Linked DNA regions of Lepisosteus oculatus. The protein of the gene in region 1 interacts with the protein of each later gene in a pairwise test. Links are inferred from orthologs where the notes say so. Each region holds a gene or a part of one and is shown on either strand. Other genes may lie near its edges.

The links. The genes of interacting proteins can lie anywhere in the genome.
Region 2: the proteins of protein bicaudal D homolog 2 (region 1) and snw1 interact in binary tests that used the Homo sapiens proteins (3 or more experiments, as listed by UniProt). The link is inferred for Lepisosteus oculatus from reciprocal best matches to the Homo sapiens genes BICD2 and SNW1.

Annotation. Positions count from the first base shown.
Region 1 is NC_090699.1:63,445,050-63,453,028, reverse strand, and holds the start of protein bicaudal D homolog 2, read left to right. Parts: upstream 1-4,956; 5' UTR 4,957-5,272; coding exon 5,273-5,506; intron 5,507-7,979. UniProt on the Homo sapiens protein: Acts as an adapter protein linking the dynein motor complex to various cargos and converts dynein from a non-processive to a highly processive motor in the presence of dynactin.
Region 2 is NC_090703.1:2,093,337-2,100,201, reverse strand, and holds the start of snw1 (SNW domain-containing protein 1), read left to right. Parts: upstream 1-3,845; 5' UTR 3,846-3,920; coding exon 3,921-3,934; intron 3,935-4,832; coding exon 4,833-4,986; intron 4,987-5,784; coding exon 5,785-5,946; intron 5,947-6,256; coding exon 6,257-6,352; intron 6,353-6,612; coding exon 6,613-6,719; intron 6,720-6,865. Other genes in the region: adck1 (aarF domain-containing protein kinase 1), read right to left, coding at 127-210, 1,792-1,923. UniProt on the Homo sapiens protein: Involved in pre-mRNA splicing as component of the spliceosome. As a component of the minor spliceosome, involved in the splicing of U12-type introns in pre-mRNAs.

The sequences.
Region 1 (7,979 bases):
ATGGAGAAGCGTGTTGGAGCACAGAATGCTGTCCCTGGATGTAACAGCTTCTTCATGGTCCACACTGTATACTCCAGCCATATCAAGGGATGTGAGCAAATCCCACTGAGGACTCATAAGCCCAGTGCTGTCAGCCTCACAGCCGCTGTCTTCCTGTTTCGTTCAGAAGAGCCTGGTTTGCAGACATGAGAGCTTAAAAATGTGCACGATCTGAATTCAAATGGTTGTAATTCGTTTTCAAGCCGGACTTTATTAATAACTGAGATAAATTACTTAAGCTGTTGCTAAAAGAAGGAAAGTTAAAATCTCAAATACCCAACACCTAGGTACATAAAACAGTTTTCACACCACATTCTGAAGGCCTTTCACATTTTCTTCATTTATTTCAGATTCTCTGGCATTACATGCAGTATGCCAGGAAGAACTACAGTGCATAGAAGAGATCTTCATCAGTAGATGTCTTTCACTGATGGATGAGTTTGCTTTTCCCTACATAGTCCCAGTCTTTATTTTTTTGTAAGGGAAAGGGTCAAACTGCTAAAGCTATTGACTTGACTTGACAACGTATTAAGGATTTAGTGCATCGTTAATTAAATAAGAACAATATCTTTCTTTGACATTTACCCAAATGAACAACTGGGACATTTTGGACACCAAACATCATGAAGGCTTGGGCTAAACTGTGGTTTGTGTTTTATTTTAATGTGGTTGGAACCCCCACATCAAACAAGCAATAATACATATACTTTGTTGTTCATAACTCATACGCTATGTAGTGTAGTAATTGGTGCATACAGTGATAAACGAGGTTTTAAATGGTCATGATGTTTAATTCACAGCAAAATACATGACGTGTAACCAGGAACAGAAAACAGGTCCAGAGAATCCATTATCACACAGCCTCTAGGTGAAAGGCAGGACATACTATACCAACTCATGCTTTGTGACAGAATCTATGAGTTATTAAGTGTTTCATGTATTTTATTACATAAAGAAAGGTTTAAAATTATTTTCTTTTTTTAAATCTATCTAATTTTTTTTAAACCTAGAACTAAGTTAGTTGAGAACAAACACTCATTTTCAGTGACGACCTGGAGACCTGTATATACAGCAGGGCCTTGAAAGCAGCAACTGAACCCACAGTCCTCTGGTCTGGAGCACCAACCAGTACTCCACACTGCTGCTTTCCTCAAGTGATGATGGGTGTGTGCATGTTTCCTGTTTCAAAGAAACAAATTGCTTTAGTTTTTCAGCAGTCCCTTACCTGTTTTCAAGTTACCTACAGCTCCATGAAACCTGCCACAACCCATCGGACATCGGACAGTTAACTTTGATGAATTGTAAAAGTATATTATATGTTTGAGGAATACAATTACACTTACATTACACCCATGTAAACCGTTCCCTTACTTTACATTTTATTTATGTTATGTTTACTGTATGGGATGCACGTCTTGCAAACACATATAGAACTACAAACACTGCTTACTAAGTGCGGCATTTAGTTGAGGAAAAAATGTAAAAATGCAAGTACAGCAGTCATTAAAATGCTTTTCTTACCTGCCACTTAAGCAGGTAAAGGCACTGATCTATAGAAGCTTCACTCACACTGAGGTGTGGTTGTGACTGTTTGCATGCCATATGCTGCCCAGTGTACTGCACGTCCTCTGTCAGGACATTTTTCCTCTGGCAGACGGCAGCAGACTTGATTTTCTGTCAGCATATACTGCTCTCGGCGTTTCACAATACCATATCTACTTATTTACAATTTATATGTATTATATCCACCTGAAACAACTGATGAGCACTTCCAAAATCTATGCTTTAAATATTGAGCAGCCATTCAGAAAACTGCTGTCTGCCAACACCCACACATGGGAGAAAATAATTAAAATGGGAGAAAAATAATTAAAACGTGAATTGGATGAACTCACTGAGGCAAAGAGCTCTGGGCACCATCTGTAGAATCTTATGCAGAGTATGTTACAATTTTCCACTCTGCATTATCAATTTTACCCATCCATGTACATCTTTTCTCTTGGTCCCACACAATGCCTTCCAGATCACACGCTATGTACCACTCCATATCAGCCCTGCTTGGATATGTTTAGTCTGTTATACATTCATGATGTTTGTTTAGATAAATCTTAAAATGTAAATTGCTGTGAGCCCTCAAGCTGGGGTTTATGAACTTAATTGGGAAGCAGGGAGGGTTAAAAGAATGCATAATTACAATACAGCTACAGCGCAGTTTGTCCTTGATTTATGATTTGCATATTCTTGATTTATGCTAATTATCAGACCTACACTTTTCAGCAGTTTTTTCATTGATTGCGTTGCAAATATCCCCCATAGTCTTACCCATTCGATCGTTGAAAACATTTACGTGTGTCTTTCTCATTTTACTAATACGGTATGTGTATGATTCTAAATATTTACTTCATAATATATGTGTTTCTAAATGGTTTTCACAATATCGTCACAATATGAGGGTGGCGATGTGTGGGGGTGGCTCTGGTTGAAATATCTGATGAACAGCTAGGTATTTTGGCAAAGAAAGGACTGCAGCTGCTGCTCAGAATACAGACTTCTGGAGAACCACAGCTGCATGTCTTGGATATTTCTGTAGTAGCAAATTTTGGCATGTCATGACATCTGACTGGGAAGAACCCGAATAATGAAGCAAAGCTGACAGACTGCAAAGGGAGACTCAGAAAACGCAGCTGTCAGAAATACAAGAATGGCAATCTTCAGCAAACACAGACATCAACTTACAAAAAGCAAATACATCTGTGACTACTGTGGGAAAAGGGAAACAATAACTGTACAGGATATCTCATGATATATGCCATGTATATGAATGTACAATATAAGGCTGCTATATCTCATAGTTTCATAGCCATAACAGTAGTTATATCAGAATGATGAGAGTTCAGAAAACATGTTTATGTTATAGGAAAGCAGTGTCTTGCAGTGGAGTGTTTAGATTTAATCAGAGTATTCTTGCTTCTTCTACAGTGGGTGGATCTATTTAATTTTGGTTAAGGAAATGTAATCATCGACTTGTTTGAATCAGACTTTTACCCAGCACTGGCAGAATATTTCCTTTTGCTTTTTAAACATAACAAAAGACCTTCAGTTTTCAAAGTCGATGTACTGTATCAGTCTAAGGTTTGTGTTCTCACCAAATTACAAAAGAAAAAGAATATTCTCCTTTTTCGCTTTCACTCGGCCTGATGCTATATTTTCTGAAGAGCGGTATCCAAATTTGTAGTTTCTTATCCTGCTAGTGACGAGCAAGGTCAGATCCCAATTTATTTAACCAAATAATTTACAATGATGGGACTCAAATTGGAATGTACCAATTTTCCTCTGAGGTTATTTAATGGAGCAAACTGAGAGAGGTAACTTGCTTAGAGGCACTATGTAAGTTGTTCAGCCAAATGACATTGTACAACATCCTGGAGTTGCAAGAATGGGAATCTAGCAGAATAAAATGTTGGTGGACCACTAGGTGGTGCTCTTTCCTCTCTAGACCAGAATTTCCAAATGAGAGCCCACAGTATGGTGACCAGGAACTTGTCTCTGCCTGAAGACCAGTGACCCCTGCAGGCCCCCCAAGTAAACAGTAAAAAAAAAGGCTGGGCAGGCATAGAGAGGGGGTTGGGGGTGGGTCTGGGACGCCAGAACCACTGTGGAGACTTCTGGAGATGTTGTGGGCTCATAGACAATGCACTGATGATGGAAGGTGCCCACTGAAACCCCAAAGACATGTCGCCCCCAGCCCCCGCCTCAAGACTCACGATTAAGGCAAGAAACAGTGGTGCGCTCCCCATCTCTAAGGGATTGTACCATCAATTCCCACGTGTCAGAACTGCAGTAACAAGTGTCATCCTGCTGCTGAGATGTAAGACGGTAGTCTTAGATACGTGGTCATTAAGGATCACTGGGCGCTGTTTGTAAGAGTACGGGTGTTGTTCACCCTGGGATTCAAATTAAATCGCGCTCAGGGATTTTACAAGTAACTTCTCACTTCTTCAACTGACCTGCGGTATAGTGGCAGATAATGGCATCCAGGTGCCAAAGTGAGTCCCCTCTTATGTGTAAAGTGCTTTGGGATCCTTTGGGATGAAAACACGACATACAATGCAATTAATTATTATGATACTACACCACATCACAGTTAATGACGTTCTACTGGCAGTGCATAATTTAAATCCTTGTAGTAGTGGAAACGTGAAAGATAATTCTTTAAACTCTGTGGTTTCGAAGTCAAACGTGTACAAGATCTCGAACGCAAACCTTCGTCAGATACATTACGAAGTACTGATTTACCCTCGTTGACATAATCTACTTTTGGTCTGCTTTCGTAATATGCAAGGTATAGGTTAAATACAATACATTTGATATATTTATAATGAAGAGCTCAATAAGACAAATCGGTATTCGTTATGTTCATTTACAAAACTGTAACCGATAATAAAATCGTTTCCTTGTCATTGAACACACGCTCGAATGCAATCAGGTTTAACGACTTAATACTACCGAAGGACTCTAAATACCAATTCCCAAATGCAGTTTTCCACGCACCGTAGCTCATCTCTGACCGGGCCTGCCTGTAAATGCAGACAGCGGTATAAAATATCCGTTTTTTTTTTTAACCTGAAGGTGGCGCTACCGCTCACTCTTCGGGCTTCTGCCGCCCTCCACATATTCCATATAGTAGTCAAAGCGAGCGTTACAGCTTCTGGCAGCGAGTGAGCTGTCCACATGTACAAACTAGCAGTGGATCATGGGAGTTGGAGTTCTTTTGACCCGTCGCGCTGTAGTTACAGCCGACAAGAGCACTGCATCTCCCGGTATGCGCCAACGCTCCCTTGGAGCGCATCCCAGGGGATGACTTCACGACAGTCCGCAGCCCCCCCTCCCATCAGTATTAACTGAGCAGGAGGAGAAGCTCAGGGCACCAGAAGCCGCAACCATGAACTAGATTTAAAAGAGACCAGTATAACGGTCTGGGGGGAAGAAGAAAAAAAAGGGCTGGTTTTCGCGTATGAAACAAAAAAAGCGGAAGGGCTGAAATACAGCAACTGCTAGGGAAGGAGAGCAAACATGCAGTTCAAACGCAGAAGACTTTAAAACCCCCTTTTTTTAAAATCAGAAGGGGCGTTTGCGGTCCTTCCAGAGGCGAGGGATCCGGTTCAAGCTTCTCTGCTCACTGCTTTTAGATCCCCACCCCGCTTGCGTGTGCCGCCGGCCAGCCGAGATCAAGATGTCCGTGGACGAGTATCCCGGGTCGGTGGTGGTGCCGGACGCCGGACCGCAGTGGCTCCGGGCGGAGGTGGAGCGGCTGTCCCGGGAGCTGAGCGAGACGACCCGGGAGAAGATCCAGGCTGCCGAGTACGGGCTGGCGGTGCTGGAGGAGAAGCAGCAGCTGAAGCAGCAGTATGACGACCTGGAAGCCGAGTACGAGACCGTCCGACAGGAGCTCGACCAGCTCAAAGAGGTACGGGATACATTGTAATAAAAAAAAAAAGAAACAAACAGAAATGTTTGCCCGCAACGTTGTTGCGCAGGCGGTGAAACATTTCTCGGCAAGTCGCTGATTCAGCTTGGTCTTCAGCTGTCAAAAGGAATATCGGTTAAGACAGGGGGTTGTTGGGTTTTTTTTTTAAAACGTTTTCTTGGGAAGGATACGCACTGCATCCGTCGGGAGAGGGATTATGTCCTCAGCTGTCCCCGTTTCCGTTAAAACAAGATCGTCTTTTCAGGGTTAAAAACGTTGGCATCTCCAACGCTGTAGCCCTAGATATCGGCGCTGCTGGTGTGGCACTTGACGATCACCAGATTCAGTTTGTCGCATTCAGTCTCCACCCCACCTCCGGGGTTATGTTGTCTTTTATATGCAACTATATATAGGGTGTCCGAATTCAGTTTGGCAGTTTAAGTTTCCTTTATAACGTCAAAAGAGATGCAGAAGCATTTTGTAGCATAAACTTTCAACGAAAAACTAGGCGTATCCATTTGCAAGAGGAGTTCGCGTTCTCGTTTGAATGGTATCTTTACAACTACAGCTCTTCAGAAACGTTTGAACGAAGAAACAGAAGTCGGGATTCGTTCATTTAGATTTTTTGTTAGGTTTTTAAACGGGTTCAACCGGCCCCGTTGTGATTTTTGTTCCGTTTTTGAACCTTTATTGCAGTTTTTGTTTCCCCTCGATTAGATCTATCGCCCTCTACAGGGCGGCCGGCTGATTATGGAAGGGAAGACGAATTTGGCTTGGATAACGTTGAGATAACCTCGCATTTTAGTCAGCTATTAAATCTGGTAGATTTTCATGTTTTGATTTTACACACACATGTATATATATAACCTAAATGCCTCCTCTAGAATGTCATATATGAATATAGACTAATATATAGTAAGTGAAAGCTATTGAAGTTGCCCTTTTTAATTTTAATGTACCTGCTAGTTACATTAAAATGTATATAGGGTGTTTATCTTGAGATTGGGCGCTGCACAAACTGAAGAGCCTTATTGTTAGTAGGTTAAGCCAGCCTGAGACCAGTCGACCAGTGAGTTTAAAGTGCGTCGAGGAATGGACGGACAAGTTTTGACCGTGGTGGAATGTGAGGAATGCTGGTGGGTTCCCTGGTGGAGGGGGAACCCTGAAGGATCAAGTTATTTTCGCGCCAGAATGAGTGTCTGCAGCCTCAACAGGCGGTAAACTGGTGATGTCGATTATATACTGTAAGATTAGCAGGTTCAGACAAATGTTTAAGATTCGTCTGAGGATGCCATTCTGCAAAAGAAAGTGGTCAAATATGGAGCTCGTTGGTGGTTTTCACTGCAGTGTGAGAAACAGAACGCCTCTATAGTGCTAGAGTGCCTCAAGAACAAAAGATTTATAGGGCAAGAAATAGCAGAGTATTTTACTTTGGTAGGGCATTTTGTTTTACTGTTATTTTTCAGTATAAATATTATACTTTCAAGACAAAAACTACATTAGGAGTATTTATACATGTGGAGATCTGCATTTAGTGGGAAACTATAACCATGATGAATATGTATATATTCAGTACATAATCCATACCCAATATCTGCAATGATACCCAGTATATGTCAATTTATCTAAGGTTTTTTTTAGATATTGTTATTAGCTCTGTGTTGTAGTGCTCAGCTTTTTTTAGTTTTTTTTTAAACAAAAAATTATTAGTGTATGATATTTAGAAAGTGAAGGAACTGTTATCGTTTTTTTACAATAATTCGAGGATTCAATAAATGTGGGGAAAAACCATTTTCTGTAATTGCCAAGCAAACACAGAAGACACTGCATCTCAGTGTTGGGTCTTGTTTATTTCTCCGCGGGTGTGCGTATTTGAGTAGTCTTGTCTCTTTTTTTCTTTGTTCAAACAAATTGTAGGAACTCGGAACAGGAACCACAAAGCCCTTTCATTGTTTCTCAGTGTATTCCAGCAGTACAGTTGGGGTGTATGCACTCTTCTCCGATGCAGGGGAGAATGGAGCTCTCTTTGTGCAGACAGCAGAAAGCCCCTAGGTGCACAGTTTGAGGGATGGTCTGGTGAGGAACCAGCACTGAGCTGCAGGCAGTGACTTCAGCGTTTCCACCTCTCGCTGGGCAGCCGGTCTGTGACTGAAAGGGGCCGTGAGGCTGCCTGTACAGTGATTCATTTCCCATGCATTCCTCTGGCTCTCCCACAACACTTAGGGAGAGCAAGCTGTTGTTTGGCCTGTCTCAACGGGTAACCAAGACAACACAAATGAGTGTTTTACAGGAAAATTATGGCCTGAAAACCTCTTTCCACCACAGTCTGATTATCCAAAGTCTTTTTCGGCTTTTTAAAGTCGGTTCGCAATTCCAGATGCAGGCTGGTGAATGTGGCTGTTATGAAGAAAATGTAATAGGCTTAACTCTTTGGGAAGCAGAAATGAGTTGAATTAACTGTTCGCGAGATACT
Region 2 (6,865 bases), on another chromosome or scaffold:
TCAAATCGGTTCTCTACAAAAATTCTATCCTAAATAAAAGTTATCTTTGAATTTTATCAACAAAATGTCATTAAAATGAACAAAATGCATATCACACAGTAAGAGCTCTTGTGAAATCTTACTTACCTCTGACTTGGCAGCGCTGTATTCCTCGGTCCCATATTCAAATCTTCGGAGAGATGTGAAGTAGTCGTAACTGATAACTGCGGTCTACAATGGAAAGGTACAGGGATATTAACCTAACAGTGCTTCTGTAGATATTGGATAAACACTTTCTACAATGAACAGTAGGTTAAAGAGGCAGCACATGCGGAATTAATGTCAAGTCATCCTTTTGGTTATCTTTATGTAAAAAAAAAACAATAACCAAATTCTTAGTAGGAAATAGCTTCAGACTATACTACACTCCTAACGCACTGTATAGTAAATCCCACATTACTGTCTCTTCTTAGCATACCAGCCTCCATGACGACTGTCCTTACAAGAAAAAGCAGATTGGAAACTGTCCTACGACAGTTCCACATGAAAATGTAGAAGCTAGAAAGGTTGAACCTAACTAGAGCCTGCGTTTCTCTCTGAGTAACTCTGAATGTGTTTGGTGTGCGAAGTGTGCTGTTCATGCCAGTGTCATTTCTCCCAACATGGACAAACAAGAACTGGCTCCTCTCCTGCCTTTGCTAGGCACCAGTCAGCCCCATCAGCAGTCTGGAGAATGGCAGGCATTGTGGCTCACTCTTACTGACCCGGGATCCACATGTCTCGTTTCACTTGCAGTTTGTCTGATAACAGCGCCTCCAACAGCCACCACTGCCATATTCTATGCATTTCTGGTGGCTCTGTCACAGACTGAAGGCTTTATAACAGCTGTGCAGTGGACTCCAGTATCTGTGATCATGTTTTCTGCTACTCAGAGGTGTCCAATCTTGACCCTGTACTTCCAAGTCCACTGCCAGAGTGTCTGGTGATGACGAGTTGTTGGGTGGGAGTGTCAGGATGGGCTGTACGTCCTTTGACAACCTGAGCCCAGCTGCCCTCTATCGGCTGCTCTGTGCTGACTGTGGGTGGTCTGCCTTTTCCTCCATCTCCTGCCCTCCGAGTCCCAGACGCTCTCTTTCTTCAAGGAGGAACAGAACAGTGGGAACTCTCTGGGACTGTCCACAAGCCACTTAAGTAATCACAGGCTTATTGGCCATTTTCAATGTACATATCCACTCCTGGACAACTGGCAAATGTCTGAGCTGTGTTATTTCTAAACAAGCCACCTGTCTTCAATCTAGAAACCCTCTCATGGCACAGCTACTACTATCAATTGTATTTAATCCAGCACACATGAGCTAAATTAAATCATAACAGCTCCCACAGGCTGGGTGTCCTCCTCTACAAAGGTTAGCATTCAGCACTACCCTACCAACAGTTTCCCAAAGAGTTTTGGTGATAAAAAAAACAGTGGAGTTGCTTTGCCAAATGTTTCTCATAAAGTAGCAAAGGGCAGCTCATCTGTTAACTCGCAGCTGGGTGTTATTTGGTCCAGACTTGCAAGGTACGGCACTTATGCTGGGAATGACAGATCCCGCGTGAATAAACACACACCATCTTCATTACTGAAGTTCAGATGGGCCAATAGCATAGATGCTGGGCCATAGATGGGCCATAGTAATTTAGCCTCCTCTTCTTCATATTTGTTTCTTATGTATCAAGGACGCACCACAGGTTACAAACACGAGGAAGAAGAAGCCGCCTGGCCCACCTTGCTATTTTTGGTGCAATAGATGAAAGTCGACAGGAACCTACCGTGACCGCAGCTCTTCCGAACCGGATGAAGCTGATGTCATTGAGATCCACAGGCCTGTGATACCAGCAGAACCCCGAAGAGGCCAACAGGGCCGTGGCCAGCGAGGAGACCTTCAGCAGCCGTCCAGCCATGAGGGCACTGCAATGTGGAGAGGAGGAAGCACACGCTCTGTTCTCCCACAGCACTGCCCACGCCAGCTGCGAAGCTCCAGTACAAACGGGGCTGCGATGATGAACATACACATTTCTGACACAATCAGCTGCTTCATTTACCGGCAGTTACTTCACCCTGAACAATCTTACTCCCAGAAGCTGCTTCTGTCAAGACCCATTGTATATTAAAAAGTAGTATTACTCCACGGGTTAAAACACATTTAAGCATGATGATGCATGGATGAGGGTGTTGCAATGAGTAAGGCAACAGGACAGGTGGGAGTGTGTCGGTACTGAGGGCTGTGACACCTTGGTCTGCTTTGTCATGAGCCTGCAGGGCCATTCCTCACAAGCCACTAAAGATGAGTGGCCTTTACATCTGAAAAAAGCGCTCTGCAGCCCTGGCTCATTCTTCATTTATCATACTGTACTGAAACAGGCTTGGCTGCATCCAGTTCAGGCCTGCAATCAGCCCGGATTACCTCGTGCAATATTTCAGTGATATACCACTCCCCGTCTCTGCAGACAGCCTCTGACACGCAGCTGCAAGGACTGTGTGCTGCTCTACGTACTTCATTTTCTCTTTTTTTGCTATGATCTTCCACTCTTTATCAGCATATTCAGTAATATTAAGATAAAATAAAAAAAATATAATCAGTCAAAGAAATTCGACCATAGCTTTTGTGGTGTTTTTTCATCTTATGCATGTTTCTTATTTGTTAGTTCACGTCCTATCAAAGGTGCACTGAGTCTTTTACCTGCCTGCAGAGCATACTTCCCGTGTAGGATGATGAAGGAAGGAAGTAGAGGGTCCCTGAGCACTGCTTTCACATGCTTGAGCAGTTGGAGGGAGAATTAGCAAAGATTGTGTCTCTGCATCAGGGTGTTGTATTGTTGTATGGGAACAGCACCCGTCTCTGCCCATGCATGAGCAAGCAGTAACATTTATGGCATTATAACACAAATTCTGAACACTAACATTGGAAATACTCTTACTGACCAACATAATACACAACAGAAAAAGGTTACAATACATGTAGAGTTTCAGAGAAAGGGACCTTGCCTTGAGTTTAACGTTACGAATCAGAAAGGCATTTCAGAGAACCTCCTGCAAGTAGTACTATTCAGCAGTGAGCGCAGCACTTTACTAAGTCGCTAAACAAATAATACTGACCATCATCATATTTAATTATGGTAATTGGTCTTCGTATATCACGAATCGTTTTCCCATTGTTGTCATTTGTGTGTTGCTTTCAGTACTGATGGCTACAGTCACACTGTGTGGATGGCAGTTCATGTCGCCAGTGGTGAAGACACACGACATCATACATGAACTAAACGTTCAGAAACAACCTGTAACATTACAGCAGCAACAAGGCTTTTCATTAAGGATGTTTAAGAAAGGTATCGGAGTTGTACTGCATTTCATGAGCAGTGCAGTGCAGTGCCATGCCATTGACATTATGTAAGTTGAAGGTTTTGTAACACTAACGATATGTACAAATACAAAAGACGCTACAAAATAAATGCACCAAAAAGCAAATCATTTTGTCTTGTTATGAAATACGCACAAAGTGCACACATACAACACTTGCTTACGTTTATTATGCACATTTGTGCAAGTAAATTCCCATTCACTTACCGGTCCAGACGACCTCTCAACTCCCGACCTCAATTATTCTCGACCTGCTCTGCGCAAGGCACCCTGGACAATGTAGTTGATGATCGGGGCAGTCTCGTTTTATTTTTTTATTCAAAAGATTACTCTGAATCGATATTCACCAACGGGACTGATTTATTTTTAGTAATGTTAAATATGACAGGCATTCTACGCGTATTTGCAAGCGCGTCTTGTCCGCTACTGAATCACAAGGTTGTGTAATTAGTGGAAACTGTACAACTGCCGGAGGTTAAGCCTGCGACGTGACGCAAGGAAGCGCGTGGTGACGTCAAACGCCACATTCCGGGGAAACAAGATGTCGCTGGCGAGGTGAGCTGTGTACGACAGAGCTTGTTTTGGGACTAAACGGCGATTATTGTGTGTACGACAGTATCTCGCGATCAAGAATACTAACACGTTTGTTTGCAATTCCTTTCTGGTAATATGCGAAAGCAATAAAGTGATTTATGCCTCCGTTCCCGCTCGGGTCGCTCTGCGCAGTTCCGGGCCCGTCCTGCGGGCCTTATTTATCTCCTGGCCTCCGGGAGAGAGAGGTTTATTCAGTACCTTTTCGAATGTTATTCTCAACGTATGTGATTATATGTAGGAATCCCTATCATTGGCTGACTCCACGGTGTTTAGCTGTTTGAACTGCCGGCTCTCGCTGTCTGGCTGCGCCTCGGTTTCTTGAGCCGGATCGGTTTACAGCTGTATGGTGTGAGTTTGAAGTGAGGGGTCAGCAGTGTTCCGTGCTGAGGAGAGATGAGATCACTTTATTGGCCAAATACAGTTTCTTGCATTAGGTATTTGTCTTTTCGCACACCCCAGCTTGCTCTCCATGAGACACACAGACAGGGAGAGAAGCTGGGGGTCAGAGCGCAGGGTCAGACCCTGGAGCAGTTGGGGTTAAGGGCCTTAATCAGGGGCCCAGCGGAGTAGGATTCCTCTGCCGGCCGCAGGATTTGAACCAGCAACCTTCCAGCCACAGGCGCTGATCCCGAGCCACAGAATCATTGCTCCGCCCACTTGTTGTGAAGTGGTCGTCTGTAATAAAAAGTCTCACAATGGGACGCTTTATCCTTTGTCCTTTAGTGTGTAACCGCAGTTTGTGGAGATTACAGTTACTCTCAGTTCATCTTTAAAACACCTCAAGCCCCTGTTTGTTTTTTTGCTTGGTGCACTGGTTGTTAGTGGGAGCGCTGATCGGGGAATGTGTTTTGGGTTGCAGCTTTTTACCGGCCCCGACACAGCTGACCCAGGACCAGCTGGAGGCGGAGGATGGGCACCGCTCTCAGAGGCCCCCGTCCACCGCGCTGGTGTCCTCCCGCAGAGAGCCGCCGCCGTACGGCTACCGGAAAGGCTGGATTCCCAGGACGCTGGAGGTAATTCTGCTGCAGCTACTCGGGCTGCCTGCCTTGCTAAATGTCTGCATCTGCTTAACCTGTGTGATTCATGAGCTTGCCGTTCAGCCGGTCCAGTAGGTATGTGCTAGTTGGTCCGTACCTAGCATCTCCCTGCCAGGGTATGGATATCAACATATAGCGAGTGGCTTGTTTCACACTCCCACCACTCATTGAGTAAAGACATGCTTCTCCTTCTCAGTTTTAAATGCACTCCCCTGCCGTTTCTGCTTGTGTCTCGTGGTTAACGTTTCATTGTGGCTTCCGAAGAAATCCACAGAGCTTGTCTCACAATTTTGAGTACTAGTGTTGAGCGTGCTTGCTATTTTCTTTTTTTAAGACTAAAAGTACAATACTGAAACCGGGCATTGAATACAATTATAACTCGCATTTGTTTCCAAACTATTTCTTTTGTGTTTTTTTCCTCTGAATTGACGGAAAACCCTTTAAGCATGATATGATGTTAAAAGTCCCATGCTGCCCTGGGTATTGAGACTTTCCCTACAATACTGTACATTATTCCTTATACTTATCTATTGCTTTCCGCCCCATTGCACAGCACATCAGCAAGTGGCGTGCTGAGAGATGGCTTATCTGAGACACAGTGTTAACACCACTTTTTAATAACCAAATTGTCAGACTTAGATTTAATATCTTATCCACTGTGTGGATCAGCAGGTGAGTATTGATTTCCAAACTTTCCAAGGTGACCTCATCAGTAGCTTCAGGGGACTAACACAGACCCACTAATACACATACTGTTTTTGAACTCATTCCCAGGATTTTGGAGATGGCGGTGCTTTCCCTGAGATCCATGTGGCCCAGTACCCACTGGAAATGGGCAGGAAGAAGAAGACCTCGAATGCTCTGGCGCTGCAGGTGGATGCGGAGGGAAAGGTCAAATATGATGCCATTGCAAGGCAAGGGCAGGGCAAGGATAAGGTATGGTACCGTGTTTTCAAATGTCGCAGCATCACAAACATCCTGGCTGCACAGGGAGATAAACCCGCCGGTTTTGGTTAACTTCTGTTTTTAAAGTCCTAAAGGAACTGTTAAGCAAGAAAAACGATTGCAAATTCAGTCGTTATACCCTAAATGTATTCTTTATAACGTAGAGTGATGCAACTACTCATCTGCTTGCCAGAGATGCCTTGTTTACATTGGTAGATTAGCGCAAATGATGTTTTAAGCATGTTCTTCTTAAATGTGCAGCACTGGCAACCAGAATGTTCTTGTTTTTAATTGCTTTTAGGTGATATACAGCAAGTTCACGGATTTGCTTCCTAAGGAAGTTATGAATGAAGATGACCCAGACCTGCAGAGGCCTGATGAAGAAGCGGTTAGAGAGGTGCGTATTTTGTCCAGATTAAACTGCACTGGGAAGAAGAAGCACTTTGATTGCTGACTCCTAATTCTTCCCGCTTGCTTTTGTTTCATGGTCAGTGATAAATTAACATGTTCTCAATAAAGACAGCTTTTATTCCCTGGACCTGAGGCTTTGGACTTTGATATGAATATTACCACTTATCAGTCCATCCACATTTTACCTTGGAGCCCATTTTGAAATAGTGTCTTCAAACTGAAGGGAAAACAATTGTTTTGATGCAGCTGACAGAGAAGACCAGGTCTGCCTTGGACAAGCAGGTATCGCAGAAGATCGCGGCAGCCATGCCTGTGCGGGCAGCCGATAAGCAAGCCCCTGCACAGTACATCAGGTGAGAGGAGTCACTGGTACTTCCTGGTCTCTGTTACAGAATTGATCCCTTAATTGACCTAATATCAATTTGAAATCAAACTCAGCTCAGCTGGAACAAAACCAGCGTGTTTATGGCTTTCTGGGACAAGGCCTGGGAACCCCTGC